2 linked regions of the Drosophila melanogaster genome follow. Changing the gene in region 2 together with the main gene of any one other region gives a genetic interaction. Each region holds a gene or a part of one and is shown on either strand. Other genes may lie near its edges.

The links.
Region 1: of Smg5 (region 2) and Gadd45, changing one suppresses a phenotype caused by changing the other (phenotypic suppression), as found in Drosophila melanogaster (one study listed by BioGRID).

The regions. Positions count from the first base shown.
Region 1 is NT_033778.4:7,245,112-7,252,497, reverse strand, and holds Gadd45 (growth arrest and DNA damage-inducible 45), read right to left. Parts: upstream 3,338-7,386; 5' UTR 3,078-3,337; coding exon 2,586-3,077; 3' UTR 1,843-2,585; downstream 1-1,842. Other genes in the region: Adk3 (adenosine kinase 3), read left to right, coding at 7,197-7,276, 7,355-7,386.
Region 2 is NT_033779.5:13,895,041-13,906,328, forward strand, and holds Smg5 (Smg5 nonsense mediated mRNA decay factor), read right to left. Parts: upstream 9,437-11,288; 5' UTR 9,167-9,436; exon of another isoform or gene 9,065-9,166; intron 8,892-9,064; 5' UTR 8,881-8,891; coding exon 8,741-8,880; intron 8,678-8,740; coding exon 7,035-8,677; intron 6,942-7,034; coding exon 5,592-6,941; intron 5,262-5,591; coding exon 5,103-5,261; intron 5,024-5,102; coding exon 4,782-5,023; 3' UTR 3,788-4,781; downstream 1-3,787. Other genes in the region: CenG1A (centaurin gamma 1A), read left to right, coding at 1-130, 215-349, 417-1,700, 1,765-1,882, 1,946-2,321, 2,386-2,709.

The sequences.
Region 1 (7,386 bases), on a different chromosome or scaffold from region 2:
CAGGTTGGCAGAAACAGAAACTTTGGCCTGTCGCACGAATCCGAAACTAGTTTGCCAACAGGTTGTAAGTCGAGTGTGAGTATATGAGTATGAGTTCGAGTATCGAGCGGGGCATTCCGAATCGTTTTGATTCGCATTGAGAATTATGCTAATTTCCAGCTGGCGGGGCTAGCACCGCTATAAACCAATATGAATCATATATACCTTCGACGACGTCGCCGGTAGAGGCGAATCTCTGAAGCTTGCACTCCGTCCGCCCCCGGGAATCCGCCAAGTCACGCTCGCAGATGATCATGTTTGCATGAGTCTGGTCTCGGGTCCAAACTTCCCCTTTTCCAGTTGTCCAGCTGGCGGGGAAAGCTTGGCCCCAAGCCAAAGCCAAAGCCAAAGCTTCAATTGGCCAGTCAATGGCCGCATGGCTCGTTACCCAACTCGCAGTGACTTGGCCGAATCGGAATTGGCATTGAGCACTCTGGTCGTTCTTTGGAATTCACGCTCGTTTCGCTGGATCGGGGTAAAGTACACGCGGCGATGATTAAGTGGGGATGGCTTGTGTAAGTAGCGCTAACAGATCACTTGGATTTTGCCGAACACCCGGCAATTAACCCAATTGGATGTCGCACCAGGTCGCTGAAATGCACTGAGACAATAGGAGAAGTGATAATTAGAAGGGCATAGGCAATCTGAAACCGCCTCGAACCGATGCAGTTATCCAATTGTGCAATGGACAAGCTAATCAAACAATATTCTCTAAAGTGGAACAATAAATATCGAAGTATGCAATTGAAGTATATCGATCTGAAAAAAACGAATAAGTTGCTCAATATTATGTAATTGTGCTAACCGATGACTTGGCAATACATAATGAATTGCTACTCCAAACAGAGTTCTACTAGAGGATGATTATGATTATCACGTTAAGGCCATAACTAACCACATTTTAAAGTCTTGTTTCGGAAAGACGGAAAATTTGACTGGAACAGGCGCTAAACTGTTCCAAATTATCTCCGCCCGATCGCATCGCGTCGTGTCCAGACGATCCGCCGAACTGACCTATGTCTTGGCCACATGGATCCATGCTAATGGTCCTAATCAGTGGCAAACTCTTCCCAGTGATTTTCCCACGGCACGAGCTGCTCGCATGGCAGCTCCTCCGTGCGATGGGCTATCTATTTATTGTCTCTGCTGTCCGGTCCATCCATCCATTAGGCCAACATAGCGCGATGTCTGGCATTGATTACATTAACGTGTCTCGATGCTCAACATCTGTCTGGTTGGCCAAGTCAATTGGCATGATCGCGAGCGTGTTCGCAAATGAAACAAAGTGGGTCTCGTATGAAATTGTCTCGTTCATTGGATCGTAAATATCCCAGTACGATTTTTATAACGCCCATTGACTCTGATTAACTCAAGTGCTCCACGGTGCTTTACTTTTTTCCCCCTATAAGCATGACCCATACTTCTAATTGACTTTCCCACTGATCAGTGATGGGAACAATTAACTAGGCAAACTGACTATTCTCGCACCCATTATCTAAGTTGATAAAACTGCATACTTCGAGCCGAGGGCTTCTCCCAGTCTCCCCCAGATGGATGGCCCCGATTTCGGCGCTCACGCGTGTTTTCCATTCCACTGGGTTCCGAGAATTCATTGATAAGGCGTCCGATGGGGCCCTATATGCAAGGCACGCTCGATGGGGAAACCCCGGCAGTTATGCAAAGATTGATGAGTCGGGCGGCCTCCCGATCCAAATCCAAGGGATTTGTACCCATTGACGTCAGTTTGGATTGCTGGAAGAGAGTGCTGAAAGGGATGGGCAAAAAACAAGACGAAGAAAGTTTGGTTTTTATACAAGATTTTTATTTTTCATTTTTTATCAGTTTTTTTCAAACCTTTTTCAATTTTCTTTTTGTGCTTAAGTTAGATAACATTTTTTTGTGTGCTTTCATCTGATGTTTTTTTTTTGGAAAAGCTAACATAACAAAACTTTAATGGTATACATGCAATTGGCTGCTCTCCTTTTAAGTATAATTTACAATTTACGGCGTACAGAATAATTGTCATTATCAGTAAATTTGCGCGACGCTTAAAGCGAAAATTATACAGAAACAAATTGGCTATATTTATGTATGGTTCTGTGTACATATGTGCACATATGTTTTGTTGGTTCGGCAGCTGGTCACGCGCTTGTGTGTGATGCTGCTCCTTGGCTGTGTGCGTGAGTATCTGTGCGCGACTTCCGCGGGTATCTCAGCTGCAGTTACTGCCGCCTCGAAGGTCGCCTTTCAGTTTCAATTATCCGCCAAGGCGCCGGCTTATCCATCTCTGCTCCCCTCCTCCCTCTCCTGCTTCCTGAATACAGCAGGTTAGGGTATATACATATGTCGTATTCTATATATCCTATGTAGGTGTACATGTGCCGGTGGGCTTCTGGCAGCGCCACGAAACGTCGGATTCCCTCGGGAACTCTCCAAGACGTTCGGGGCCATCAACCCCCAGCAACTGGTTTCCATTAGAGTTTGCTTGCGCCCACTGTGCGGGGCCATTCAATTCTGTGACATCTGGCTGTCCCGCTCACACGCGCCTACACAGCCGGCAGCTGGACAATGGGCTGCTGGGGGGCGTCCCAGTGGGCCTCGCAGTAGTCGACTAGCTGGTTCTCGGCCTTGGTCAGCTGCTCCTCGGGGGCGTCGGCCCAGACCTTCTGGACCAGGCAGCACGACTCGACGGAGTCCTGGCCGAGGATGCGGCTCAGCTTGGTGGCGTCGTCCACCTTGATCACGTAGATGTCGTTCTCGTAGCAAAAGGCCTCCAGCAGTACCTCGTGCATGTGGGTGGCAGAGTCGCCGTCCTTGGGCTGGGCCATCAGGCAGAAGAGGGATCCCTCCGGCGACTTGGAGAGCACGTTGATGGCGGCGGACAGGCCCACGATCACACGCGCCTCGCTCTGGGCCCTTAGAAGGGCCGACTTGATGGTGCGTCCGATGGGGGCACACTCCATGGCCATATCGATCTCTAGCTCCAGGTCCAGTTCGCGCTCCAGGTGGTGCATGCTGCAGTTCTCCTCGACGACCATATTGTGGGTGTTATCCGTTTGGTTGTGCGTTTGCTTTGGGTTTTGTGTTATTTTCGAGCCGTTGGCTTCCACTTTTTGGGCACTTTCAGCTGGCACTGTTTGTTGTTGCTTTTGCTATGCTTTGCTTTGCTTTCGAGTGTTTTTGTTTAGCACCCGATTAACTTTTGCTTATGAAATTCTTTTCGCACTGGGCTTTGTGTTTCTTCAACCGTTTGTCCGCGCTGTTTCAATTTTGAGTGGCAATTTCACAATGAATGCTTTCGGTTGGCGAGCGAACGCTTTTATAGCCGCGCTCTCCGCCGCCTGAGAATTCCACTGAATTTCATCAGAAATGCGAGAGCGAGAGCTTTTTAGGGGGGCTCGCTCTCCCGCTCTTGCGCTCTTTCAGCCAAATCGGGTTTTTTCATTACTTTTTTTGGGATCCGAAAGATTTCCGTTGATGTCGCGGCAATTAGCAGATTGGGGGTTTCTTTCCATCACACCCAAACTGCAATCTGCAGTTTTGGACGCTCCAAATGGGGTCAGGAAACTTGGCTCCCCCGGAAACTCGGCTCTCCCACTCGCAAAGGCAGGGAAAGTGTCTCCCTTAAGTAAGAGCTTCGCTTTCATTATCTTTCGCGCGAAAAAATCGTGTGCGAACATGCTTTGAGTAAATCGCAATTTGCTCATCAAAATTCGAACAAAAATTCGTAAATAAATTTCACTTGAACGGTTTTCTTAAATTTAGTACATACATTTCGCCAGAACCCCGTGAATGGACCACTAATACCTGATGGCTGATGGCGAGCAACAGGTCCAAGTGTGTCGCATCTCGGCGACCAACGCGACGTATGCGCAACTCGCGTATACTAGGCGTATGATTAACGAATGACCTTACTTACCCAAGTTAACCCGAATTTTATTTCTGGCCAGGCTTCGCACGATCTTATTCTTTTTGCATTTGGCCAGACGGCCGGACAAACAGAATCGCATGTCCAAACACAAAGGGAGTTGCTAATCAATTTATCGCGGCATTCCAATTTTAAATTCCCCCCCTCCGCGCTGCACATTCGGCACGTGGGAACGTGTCGGAATCGCCAGTCGAGATCGCCACTGAGTTTTATCAATTGAACCCGAGAACTACGCCATCCGGCGGAATTTCCAGCTCGCTTCTCCTAAGGGGTTCAACTACCGCTGGCCGTGCACTTTAGTAATTAATTATTACTTTAATCGCCGAATCAGCATAGGTTCGCAGGTTTTGTTAAGGCTATAAATAGCACCTGAAAATCGATGCCTACATATGTATGTACATACATACATACATGTGTTTTGGTTTTTTGGAGTTGAACAAACTGCTGAGCGTGCAGCGTAGAATTGAAAACAATTCCTGGGCAGCTGCAGCATGTAATTCAGCAAGATTTACGACAAAAAAAGTAAAAAGCTATGAAAAGTATACAACCCTAAAGAAGGCAAAATAAGAAGGGTTATATTTAGGTTAAGATCACTTGTTTTCATCTGTGCATCTGGGCAGGTGATATGTTTAACTCAACCCAACCAAGCTGATAGTCAGCCCATGATCATAACAATAACATATGTATGTAAATATGTACATATATATGTGCATGCAATTTGAAGAAGCTTCTGGTCTTTCAATAACATACTACTATGATTAAGAGTAGGGTGATTCGAATTACTGACCTATGCATGTATTTAGACCCGAAAACATAAACAACTGTCGTGCTTATGAGGGGCATACCTGTAGTAAGTGGATCAGCCGCGGAAGTGCTGAAAGTTGGAAATCGCCGACTCAGCTACGAATTTGCGCGCCAAATTCGCCTCGAAAGTGGCCAATGAACCGCGGAAATGCAGTGGCATTTTGGGGGTTTTCTAGCTAAAACCGGACAGACATCATTGGTCATCTGTTCGCCCAATACTTGTAATTATGAAAATATCATTATAAAAAGCATATTTTATATTTGTTATGCTTAATAATTGACCCATTCATAAAAATTATACGCATATACGCAAATTATACTAATCGTAGTACTTAAAAATTGCTTATTTTACCGTTTCTAACCCCATGTGATATTTTTCAAGATAATCATACTAGTGAGTACCATTTTAGCTTGTTTTATAACAAATATGCATATCTATTACTTAAATACGCATTTGCAGTGACAGAAAATAAAACTATTGCCTTGTCATTCCAGCGCGGAATTCGAGTTGTCACAAGTGCATAAAGGGCACCACTACAGCATTTTCTATTGCTGCGGCGAACGTGCGGATTAGAAGTTTTGGTTCTTCATCCAGCTTGATCCGCACGTCACAATCGAACCCAAGGAATTCAGATATTTTTAGCCTTTTGCGTGGGACTTCAATGGCACCTCTGCCCGTTGCTTTTGTGTGCCATGCCACCCAGTTGTGTGTGCAACATGCGCCCATCACATGTGAAGCCACCACATTGGATGGATTTCATTGCTGGCTTATTTCGAGGGAGAATCGTGGAGCCCACGGAGTGATCGGGCATGGATCGGAGGCACTTCGCCGGCGGTTGCCCCACTGCTGAGTCACGCCGGCGCAGCACTAAACTGGGCCCAAACCCAAACCGAAACCCAAATGCCAAGCGAAGAGCCAAATGAGTCAAAGAGTCAAAAGAGAGTGGGAACTGGTTTTTGAAGAGTTCCCCCACATTCGGCATTCGGCTATCGGCATTCCATTTTAGGCCGGTCCAAAGTCCGCAAGTCTGAGTACCTGCAACCGGTCACCAAGCCACCATGAATGGCCGATGAATGCCGCCCGAATCCTCACGTGCACCAGCATCACGCTGGAAAACGAGATATCTCGCGCCGGCGTGGAGGTCTCCAAGGTGCAATTTTGTATGCAGTGCGGCTATGCTGGGGGATTTCCCATTTGGCTGCGATTGGCTGCAGGGAAAACCCAGTTTCCAAAAGAGTTCTCTGCGAAAAACCCCCAATGCAGTGCAGTTTATTTTTTCGATGCGTGGTTTTTCCCACTCCAAACCAGATACCATAATGTATTCTCTTATTTATCGTGGGGCTTTTGGCAAGGGAGTTTCGGTTATCTGAGCGAGCAACGTTCTTTCCAAATAATTAGGTCTTGTCTCGCATTAAATAATATTGCGAAACATTTGGCAGCGCCTTTCGAATAATGGCGAAATGATTCAGCTGCTCGCTGGTGGGCAGATGTACATCACTTGCAGGGCTGAATTCTTTGCACGATGGTAAACTTGTTTTGAGAACCTGGTGAAATTAAAAAAAAAGGAGGGCAAACAAAGCTGAAACTGAAAGAAAGCCATAACATTTCCGCAAAATGTGTGTATTTCGTTATATATTCCAATTGTAAGGTTCTCTACTTTTTAAAGAGTTGTTACTAGAGCTCAGGTAATTTCAATGTATATGTTTACAGATACTTCGATTTTTATTTATTTACAAAGAAAATTTTTAAAATTTCTATCTGACATAACCGGTTCGATTTGTTCGCGCCGGATGACAGCTCTGTCAAGTTCTCTCTGGCTCTTTCGATTCCTAAGCTTTTACCCGATTAGTGCTTTTTTCGCCGGCAGAGCTTTTCTTGCACTCAATTATGCTTCTTCTTCCCTGTAAACAAAACACGCTCACAGCTGTTTCTTCCGCACTGAAGTGTTGGCAAACGTCTGAATATTACACGCAATATTTATGTAATACGCTAAACAATTAAGTCGCATAAATTATAAAATAGTCATTAGGGATAACTCGATGGCATTTGTGGAGCGCGACTTTGAGTCACCATAGTGCCGCCGCCAAGTACGATAGCCACAATCTGAGCGCCAGCGCAGTGCCAAAAGCTCTGTGTTGTTGAAAAACTCGACAAAGTCAAAAAAGTCGAAAAAGTCAAGCTGCTCTTTGTAGGCCGCTCGATACAAAGGTAAAAAGAAGTTGGCCCAAACAAATTGCCCGAAATGGGAAAAAACAAATCGAGCACGCTGGCGAGAGCGAGATAAAAACACCGGGACAAACCGGCCCGAGCGTTCAGTTCTGTGCCGGACGACAAAAGCGGCGGATCACTGTTGGATTTCATTTCATCCGGAGCACTTGCGAATAGAACGCGAAAGTCCCGAGCAAGCGTTAGTTTTTGCATACAATGGAGTACCTGAGCTACGTGTACGAAAAAATCTTCGGGGGCAATCCTCCCACGGATGACACGCAAGGGGCTTTCCACACGTGAGTATCAGCAGTAGCAGCTGAGGCGGAAAAACCCGGCAGAAAACACCTCTGACCATTGGGCTTTCCCACTTTCAGGCCCCGCAAGGTCATCTGCTTCGGCAACGTCC
Region 2 (11,288 bases):
GTGGATGCGGTAATCTTTGTGTTCAGCCTGGAGAACGAGGGCAGCTTCAATACCGTCTATAACTACTATACGAAAATGGCGCATTTTCGTAATGGCCAGGAAATACCCATGATATTGGTCGGAACGCAAGGTAAATAGCCTATAATAAGAATATAAACATTTTCGTTTCTTATATAACTCATTATTACATTATTTATTAATATTATCTATATAGACGCCATCAGCGAGCGCAATCCTCGCGTGATTGACGACACCCGTGCCAGGAAATTGGCCAGCGATCTGAAGCGTTGCTCCTACTACGAGACCTGCGCCACCTACGGCCTGAATGTGGAGCGTGTCTTTCAGGATGGTAAGTAGCCCGAACTCAAATAGCATAATCACAGACGAGTAATCAAATGTAATTTAATCCTTTTCAGCCTGTCAAAAGATCCTCTCGCAGCGCCTGCCTTTGCCACCACAGGTGCAACCGGCGAGACCCACGACTCCGCAGGGCAATCGCCTGGGATTGGCTCCCTACCAGGCGCCCACCAATGGACAACGTGGCCAGCAGCAGCTACCACTGCGAATGAGTGCGGATTTCGCACAGGCGGAGCAGAAACTTTGGTCGCTGCAAGCGGCCAGCAGTTCCACCATAAACGAGAATAACAACATCACCAAATACAATCCCGGAGCGGCCAATTCGCTGCAGGGTGATTGCTCCCAGGTGCAGTTGCGCGATCCACGTGATCTGGCGCCACCACCGGGTAAGGAGCTGCCCACACCCACCTCGACGCCCACGACGAGCCGCAAGAGCCGGCGGCGTTCGAACCTCTTCATCCCCTCCTCTTCGAAGAAGGCCGACAAGGAGAAGGAGCCAAAGAGCAGTGAACTGGGCAGTGGACGTTCCATACCCATTAAACAGGGCTACCTGTACAAACGCTCTAGCAAATCCTTGAACAAGGAGTGGAAGAAGAAGTATGTGACCCTGTGCGACGACGGCAGGCTTACCTATCATCCCTCTTTGCACGACTATATGGACGATGTGCACGGCAAGGAGATTCCGCTGCAGTACGTCACCGTAAAGGTGCCGGGACAGAAACCTCGTGGCTCCAAGAGCATAATCACGAACAGTGCGCTCACCAGTTCACTGATGGCCAATGGCCAAAGAGCTCAGAACACTCTGAGCGATGGCATCGGTTGTCTCACCCTGGCCAAGGACAATCAGCGCAAGCTGAGCGAGAAATTATCCCTACTCGGAGCCGGATCCATTGCAGCTGGTGCCGGTGGAGAGCCTTTGAAGTCGAATAGCTCACAGCAGACGAGCGGTGACGAGGGCATAGCCATGTCCAATTCAAATTCACAGACTTTTATCGCCGGAGAAGTGGCCAATGCGGGAAATAAGCTGGAGGCCCAGACGCCGAACGTGAAGAAGCGACATCGCCGCATGAAGAGCAGCAGTGTCAAGGCGAACGAGGCGGACGACAACGATGGCTATGAATTCTACATCGTATCGCTGGACTCCAAGCAGTGGCACTTTGAGGCTGCCAATTCCGAGGAGCGCGACGAGTGGGTAGCGGCCGTCGAGCAGGAGATCTTCAAGAGCCTGCAGAGCATCGAGAGCAGCAAGACCAAACAGGCCACCAGCACTGATCTCGCTGCCATGCTGGCCATCCGTCAGCGGGTTCCTGGCAACGGCTTCTGCGTCGACTGTGGAGCGCCAAGTGAGTTTAACTTTAAATCGGGTGCGTTGTACATTTACTAATCCTTCTGCTTTACTCCTTCCAGATCCTGAATGGGCTAGCTTAAACTTGGGCGTACTCATGTGCATCGAGTGCTCGGGCGTGCATCGCAATCTTGGCTCGCACATATCCAAGGTTCGCTCTCTGGGCCTGGATGACTGGCCGTAAGTTTATTTTTAATTTGCCTGCTTATCATTATTCTAACATATAATTTTTTACTCCACCAGATCCCCGCATCTCAGTGTGATGCTGGCCATTGGCAACAGTCTGGCCAACTCGGTTTGGGAGTCGAACACGCGGCAGCGGGTCAAGCCCACTTCGCAGGCCAGTCGCGAGGACAAAGAGCGATGGGTGCGCAGCAAGTACGAGGCCAAGGAGTTCCTGACGCCACTGGGCAACGGATCCTCAGCGCATCCAAGCCCAAGTCCGGGTCAGCAGTTGATCGAGGCTGTGATCAGGGCGGACATCAAGTCGATCGTTTCGATCTTGGCCAATTGTCCGTCCGAGGTGACCAATGCGAATGTCAGCGCAAGAGATGTGCGAACTCCGCTGCTGCTTGCCTGTGCCATAGGCAATCTGGCCATAGCACAGCTGCTCATATGGGTAAGTTAACTGGAGACCAAATCAAGTGAATCAGTTGTTAATACGTACGTATTGCTCCTTCCAGAATGGCGCAAACATTAAGCACACGGATCATGAGGGTCGCACCTGCCTGGCCTACGCTCGAGCGGCACAATCCCTGGCCACCGCCAAGTCGATCAAAGCCGCTGCAGCTGCGCAGGCGGGCACAACGATTCCGGCTCCTGCTCCGCCCACAAACGGTGGCATTCCTGCTCCCCAATACAATGTCGAGGACACGACGGCGCTGGTGGAGCTGCTCGAGGGACTGGGCTGTCCAGAGGCGGCTCCTCTGACGGCCAGTGGCACTTTGCCTAGGAGACGTGACACGTTAGGCACTCCGTACGAGAAGTCGGTGTCGGGTGTGATCTGAATTAGTTAAAATTGAAATAAGATAAGCGTGAATTTTCATAACAGTTGTACAATTCATTAGTTTTTGTTGTTCATGACGGACTTAGTTTAAATTCGAGCGTAAAAAATGTATAGCGTTTAGTGTTTAGGTTTTAGGAATGTTGTGCAAATGTTTAATATTATTATTATTTGGCAAGTGTTGAATGGAAATTCACAAGTTTTATTTATGTTTTCTTTTAGTTTGTTTAGTTCTTAAGACATGGAAACCTGTACAGCCTTGTTGTAATCTCAAGTGTATAATTTATTATTTTCGTATTACGTGAAACTATTATTATTGTTTTTTTTTTATAGTGTGCAGGTTTTTAAATCGTTTGCAAAACAATTATTTAGTAGCTATTGTAACTTTCGACAACCATCAGCAGATTGCAAAAGACTTCACGTAACAAAAAACATACTTATACAACCTAAACAATAGATAAAAGCTGATGCAAAATATACGTATAAACGAAATGAATCTAAGATTAAAGCCAAAAACAAACTTATGCTAAACAATATACACGAACATATATATATATATACATTATATACATACATAGTTGAAATTGCTTGATAATCGGTTTAAACAAATGAACACGCCCAAAATGTAGCTTATGCAGAACCAAAATCACAAAATTCTTTGCTATATAAATTCCAAACAGAAATAACTCGTTTTAGATATTATACTGCGGAAAAAATTGGATTCTGATTGTATGACGGAATCTGGGTAGACAAAAATTTAATTGAAAGTATTTCAAAACTATTATACAAAATAGTTATAAATCAATCTAAATATTACTATATGTATACACCCCTATGTATTGTGTACGCTATTTGTACGAATTACAAACCACAAAACGTGACAAACTCAATCTAATTGGAAGGAAAAGTAGCACACAAAAACCACAAAAGAAAAAAACCCCTTCAATAAAAATCTATTAAACATTTTAAACTGTGTGTTTGATTTCACGAGGAAAGTGAAGAGTATATACCATTAAATGTCCTGTTTTTCCAGTTCTGATATGTCAACCAAAAGCTGTTTTAATGAAAACCATAATAAAACAACATTTTTTTGTGGTTGGGCGCTTTATTATTCAAACAAAATGTAACATAACTTTCAATTTTGGAAACATTTAGAATGACGTAGAATTTTGTTGACATATGTGCGGCACTTTCCTTTATTTTGTAATGGGAAATTGCATTGGTGAACCACAAGAGAGAGTTTTTAGGGACTGCATTAAAATGTAAGTTTTATATATATATATATGTATACCATATACTTTGTTCTTGCGAAGAGGATCACGCGGATTGCCTAGTCAGAAGCGTGAAAATTTAAATAAACTCTGTCTGCAAAACCGAGAACGAAACACAACTGCAGGAAAGATCAAGAGTTTTTGGATCCATAGTCCAGCCCGACACAGGAAATGCGAAATCTTGAATACGACATGGTACATCAAGCAAATAACCGATTAGAAGGTCGATCCGTCCTGGTCGCCGTCATTCCGCTCTCCCAACTGTTCCACGAAGATCTTCTGTCCGTGAACCGCTCAGGTCATGCCTGTCGTTATCTTGAAAAGTTGTTCGATTGATTGATATTTTTTTTTTACGATTTTTTTCTCTTAAGAATTTTTGTTGATGATTGTGCGTTTGCCATTGTCCACTTAACATTTGCTGGGAGGTCGTCATCATTGTAGCCATCGAGTTGAAAGTGAACGATTTTGATTGGTATTTTGTTTTAGTTTGGTCTAAACACAACAAGCAAATTCGCAATGCTGCTGCTGCACAGGCTAGGCTGGCGGAATCTTGCTCCGGCTGATGGTAACAGTTTCAGTTTCAGTTTTTTTTTGGGGAAAACACGGCCACAACCGAAGCTGCAGCAGCGATTGCTGGTTTGGTTTTGCCGTCGTCCACGGCCATCGTTAACTTTGGAACTCCATGTCGATTTGTGGTTGTACAGAGAGAACACGCTCGCACCCTTTTTAGCTCGCATTGCATTTGGTCTGCAGTTGCCTTTGCCGCCTTAGCGCCCGCTACCGTTGCCGCTCCACTTGGGCCCGTTCATTTTTTGTTGGCCTTAAATTTTGCGTAGAAGCTCTGGATTTGGGCATAGCGTACGGGTATCGAGTCAAGGATGCCGGTGTAGCTGAAGTTCTGTTGCTGGCGGTTCTTCTCGTGCAAATTATCGCCGGACAAGTACGTGACGACGCTCTTCTGCAGTTCGCTGACGTGCGGATCGGCATGGTTGGCCACCAAGTGATTGCAGAACTGGGCAATTTGAAGGAAAACTGAGGCGTCACGATCTATAAGTAGCAATAAAAAAAAACAACACAACACCATTAGCTGGCTAATTCTCGTGCGATAAATATTTGCTAAACTCACCCATCTTGCGTGATATCTTCAGCAGGGATAGCGGCTGACTTTCGTTATCGCGCTGGGCACGCAAGTGCCTATTGCCCTGTTTAAACTCCTGCTCCAGCCAACGGATGACATGGCGCACATTCTCGCTGCGTTTCTTCAAGTCATCCAACTCATTGAGCACTAAATGAGAAATGATAATAGATTAGCATGGGGTCTTTCTCCTTGGGTACAGGTTAAGTACATTCTTAATTGTAAATACACTTTACTATAAAAACAATTGGAAAGAAAACAACAGGCAAATCAAATGAGCTACCGTCATATCAGAAGTGTTAAGAATCTAATCTGTTCTACTATAAAAGCTCACTGGATTTCAGGGAATACCACAAAGTAATAAGCTTGTTGATATGAGATTGTATAGATTATTTAAATTTTGAAGTTCTAAAGTCGTCATTCTATGTCATTGTTACTTTCCACTTTGTTATCAACCCACGCGGAGGTATGCGCACTCACCTGCATTTGGAATGAGGACAATGCACTTCTTGGTCCTCACCAGCGACTTGACTATGCCATTGTATTCGGTCAATGCCTTCGAATCGACCACCACAAATGGGGACATCACCACATGAGCGGGACTGTCCCGCAGCTCCTCCTCCAAAGTCTCCACCTCGTTTTGCAGCCACAGCTTGCCCATGAGCTCACACTTCTTCGACTTGGCCTCCGAGCGCTCTTCGTCGGCCCCCGAGCTGGACTGCAAATTCAGTTTCTCGATGACACTGTTTGTGGTTGTGGAGGCGGAGGTTCCGCCGGCGACAGAGGTTCCCGTGGCACTGGTTATAACAGCAGCCGCCTTCTCGGCATTGCGATTCCTTAGGTAACCCTTGCGTGGCATCTTGCGGCACTCCTCCACGGTGTCCTTTTCCTCGTTACTGGTGTAGCTCTTGCGGACGATGCCGTTCTTGCGATCGGAGTAGCGACGTGTGCGTCCTTCGTTCCGCTTTGTTCGGTTGGTCTTCGGAGCGGTACGACGCTCGCGGCGACGTGATCCGCCTCCCTTCTTCTCCTCGCGCTGTTTCTTCTTTTGGGTCTCGGTGAAACGACGCGTCTTGACGCAGAATCTGTAGTTAAACTTCTTCTGCTTGCAAATGAAAAAGCCAAAGTCGACCATTTTGAAAATACGGAGAATGGACTCTTCCTGGGGAGTGACACGCTCCCGGATAATGGTCTCCCAGTCCAGTGTAATCTGGGTGCTCTGGAAGATGTCAAAGTTCTTGAAAGCAAAGTCCTCGGTGAGCGGAACGTTGGCGCGCACATCGAATAACTCGACCAGAGAATCACGCACGTTGGCAGTGGTCAGAAGGTCGCGCTCGAAGTAAACCTTCCTGGTGAAGATGTCGATGTTGCAGTAGTTGAGAAGCTTCATGATCTTGTGCACAAACTCCGGATTCGAGTGGTAGCAGCCGATGAGAATCTCTGGGTTGATTCGCAGCCAGTCAAAAAGCATTTTCAGGGCTCTAATGGTCGGTTCATTGTGCAGACAGTCAATGACTATGTTGGGATTGATCTTGGTGTACTTGTTGCGATAAACCAGCTTCTTTGGTGGCTCTGAAAAGCTGACGGGCGGAGGTGCCACCGGCTTGCTTTGAGCATCCTCTGCGCTCTTAAAGTTCAGCTGCAGTACCTCAAAGCTGCGCAGCAACTCCTCAGAGTCCGCCTCCTGTGAGTTGGATCTGCGCTCTACTTCGTTGGGATACACGATTTTCTCCTCCTCAATAACAACGTCTTCGTTGTCGGAGTACACCACGCCACCGACTCCTCCTCCGCCGCCGCCGCCAGCTTTGCGCTCCTTTTTGCTGTAATTAGCTGTTAGGATTTGTAAGATTTTAGAAAAAAGTGTAAAAAGGTTTTCCAACTTAAGCCTTTTGCTTAGATGGAAATTGGGTTTCAAAGACTCACCTGCTGCATAGCGCTCTTCGCCGCATGGCTCCCCAGGATCAGCTGCATCAATGTCGCTGAAATCGGTGTCAAAGTTAGAACTTAGATCTGTGTAATCCTCCTCGTCGCTGTAAAAGTCTGTGTCCAGTTCGCTTTCGCTGTCATAGCAGGAGCTGTCGTCCGACTGGGCGATCTTGCGGCGTCGGCGGCGTAGACGCATTCCCCGTCGCTTGCTCTTGCAGGAGAGCGGGGTCTTAAGGTCGGACTCCTTGGCCTCGTCACTGGAGCGCGTGGAAACGGCCTCACCGATCTTGTCGCCGTCAGCAGCCTCCTGGGTCTTTGCCTCCTCGCCAGAGTGCTGGCTGTCCCGCGAATCCGAACTGCAATCCTTTAGAGAGTGCGGGCGTGGCATCAACTTCTTGTCCTTGCGCTCACATTCGCCTACTGCAGCTAGCCAGTTCTTGTACTCATTCCGGGACTTGCGCACCACAGTATCGAACTCCTGAAAGCGTTCCTCGTACTCCGCCTGGAAGCGCTCGTTGTCTTGGGCGCGAGCCAGGATTGTCTGCTCGATGCTGACGATGCAGGCGTCCATCAGATCGGAACAGGCAGCAACCAGAAAGGCGTGCAGCGAGTAAACCTTTGGTGAGTTGATCATCTTAAGCTTGGACAGACAGAAGAACAGAATGGAGACAATCTTGAAGATGCTTGGCTCCGGAACGCGCAGCTGCTGGGAGCACAGGATCTTGCGTAGATCAATCAGCACACAGTGGCACAGAGCGTTAAAGTCCGGCACTTCCTTGTCGAAGAAAAATATGTCCACAATCAGATAGAAACGGGCAAAGAAGTCCTCGATGTTGAAGTCTAGTTTTTCTGGATCCATACGCTCTAGGTATTCGGTGTGCTTGGCGAACAGCTTGTTAAGATTATTTTCGCTTAGTTCGAATGGTATGATGCACACAAGGGAGTACAAGTAGTGGTAAGTGGAGTCCAGGTCATGATTCTGTCCGTAGTGCAGTGTACCCAACTGGTTCTGGGCCATGCCAATGGCCGGATTAAGCTTGAAGGCCTCCAGATAATACTTGGCCACCTGCTCCTTGCTTATGCTTAGTTTGCTGTCGATGCGAAAGTCTAGAAAGTAGCGATGAAGATCGCCCAGACTGAGCAGCGATGAGTGTATGGTGTCGAGTGCAAAGGACACGGCCTCCAGACTCTTGTCCACCGCGTGGGTGCCCGAGTGCGATGACTCCATGGTGTCTCCGATCATGTCGCTTATGTAGCCATCACTGATTATGGAGAAATCAATCAAATACTTTAGATCCAGATCATAGATCTCTTCCATGCGTGCCGACAATCGTTTGTAGTTGAAGATGCCAGCGCAGAGGAATCGCTCCAGCTTTTGCATGTTCTCTTGGGCCGTGGCCGCATCCTGGCACTGCTTGTGCCAGTTCTTCTTCACGAAGGCAATGAACTCGTAGTATCCACGTCGCCACATCACCTCGCGCACCTTCTTGCCCACCGACTGGTAGTCCTTGAAGATGATCTGCTTGCACAGCTGCACTAGGAGCGAGCGTTTCTCTTCGATTTCGTGCTGGAACAGCTGTCCCACCGACTGCACATTCCTCTTGGCATCGTCCAGTTGCTTGGAGGCGGTGTAGAGGGATCTGTATGGACGATTTGATGCGATTTATAGTAATCCACCTGTAACACTCACTTTAACACCTTACCTGTAAAGATCCTTTACCTCCTGGCTGAGGATGCAGGTTCCATTGTTGGGCTCCAAGCCGCGACAGCGATTCGTGCCGCCGTCTATGGCGCACTCGCTGGAGGCGTTCGATGATCCGCCCGAGCTGAATGTCACCTCCATTGTTCGAGGTACTGAAACATACAAATTACCAAGCATATCATATGAGAGTTCTGAAAAGCTACAGTAAACACAGCTGCCAACTGAGGAGATACAGTAAACACCCACTAGATAGTTGAATGTTCCAGCTGTTCCTTGACTTTCGTTTTTCTGCTGACGAATTGTTTTTCGAAATAAAATAGCGTACTTTATTGTTGTTATTGTATTGTTTTTGTTTCAACTGGTGACGCACACAAACACATGCGCATTGCGTAGTTTCGTTTTATTGAATAATCAATTGAACACACACACAGATACTTTTTGCTTTTGCCTTTTTGCTTTTCTCTGCTCTGGTATTTTCGATACTGCAGCAATTGCGATTGCGAAAAAAAACTATGCGATGCGCTGCTGCGCTGCGTTATTTGGATGCACTTTTGCCAGCAGCGCTCAGGTAGAATCAAATGACGTCCATCAACTGTTTACCTGCGCGATTTGCATTACCTTTTATGCGGATTTAGTTGCTCTGTTTGGTGTGTCGTTCTGCAAATTTCACGTTTTCGCTCTTCCTTTGTTAAACAACAAGATGGCGCATGCACGGTCAGACTGCGCAGTCCGCAATGCTCATGCAATGTTCGATTTTTTTCTTTGGCGGGTAATTCAGAAGGGCTGGAACAATGGCTGCTAAATAGCAGGCAACAATATGTGGAATGTGTTAGGTAAAATTGGTCGCATTTAGTGTAAATTTGTTGATTTCAATGCCTAAATAGCATCATGCAGAGCTGTTTCGCCTCAGTCTTTTCAGTGCTGGAAAACTCGCTGTCGGTATCGCTGTAGGTATCGATTGTTGTCTCATCGGCGGGTTATTCGAATTACTCGACATTTTACATTTCGAATGTAAAAAGGGTATAAGTTTTGTCTGTAATTTACAATGGCAATAAAATAGAATCAAAATTAATTCCTCTTATACTTAAATATTGACAATATTAATTCTCTTGCTTGAATTTTGGTGCTTTATTTGGGTCACATATAAACGAAAGAAATAAAAAAGTAAAAAATGCAATATTTAGCAAATAAATAAAATGTGTGAAAGGAGCAATGGCCACCAACTTATGTTTTTTTCTGTACCCAAAGGGAGATAAGTGCCCATTAGTTTATTTTCATCACAAGTTTTATCACCTTTTATTGACTTAGTCTTTTTTTCGTTGCGTCTTCAATAATATTTGCCAAATGTGAGGAAATGTGTCAGGCATATTAATGATCTTCCAAACATCGGCTTATCTTCGCGCCTACCTGGCCGAGAACCCCAGACGGATTGGAAACATCAGACGCGACTAAGCCGATCTCGCATTAAAAATAAATAATGCTCGAGTTTATCGACCATTTCTCTCGGCGACATTAAGTCGTTTGGTCACTCGATTAGCGTTGGGCACGTCGAGGGGCAGATAGCCCAAGTCACTCTAAAAAAAATGCCGAGAAGTTTTATATGATTCATAGCTTATTACTTATTTTTTATAGTTTAAATATATTTATATTTCATTATCGTTTGCTCGTATGTCTCCAGAGATTTCAATATCAGAACAAATTGGGTTTAGGGAAATAGTGAACAAAATAAAGCAAACAAGTGTGTTTCCAGATCAGCCATGAACATATTGCATGCATATTCGATTTTTTCTCAGTGCATTATTGCCGGCCGATTCTCGGGCAGTTCCTCTGCTCTTGGCTATAAAACTCGCACAATCTTACTCGAGCGTTCTCAGTTTTAGTTCAGACCGCTGGCGAACCGGTCACGTTCGATTGGTTGGGAAATATCGCCGGACAGAACGTAAGTTTCTCTTTCGAATTTTGAGAACTTGAAACAAGTCATTCGCTTTAGGGCAATTAACGGATTTTCAAATAGCCTTTAGTAGCCTTTAATTGGGGTAGTTAACAATTACTTTTATGACATAATTACTTGGCGAACTGTTTCGCGATTAGTGCCTTTTTTAATATTTACTATAAATGTTCAATTTTACCAGTCACTATAATCCCTTGATAATCTTATCAAAATCGTGTAGTACACACCACGGATCTATTGTGTTTTTCACAGTCATTTCGGTGGACATGGTCGTAAATTCAAGAAATATCTGAAACACTTCTGCGGTGGTTAGTCGATCTAATCGATGTTATTTACGATCTATGACCATAAATTGTTAGTTTATTTAATACTGTGTACCAAAAGCGACTGTTATTTGCTTAGGTTGCACTTACGATCGTTTCTGTCCATATAGATGTTAGATAAAATAAAAGTCGTAGTTTGTTAAGCAAAAGAACATATAATTGATTACCTGAAAGTACTCTCTTCTGAAAATTGATTTTGTAACAGATCGAACCAACCATAACGAGTATCTTATCTTATTGGTCGGTTTGTTCAGTTGAAGTGACTTCCAGAGTAT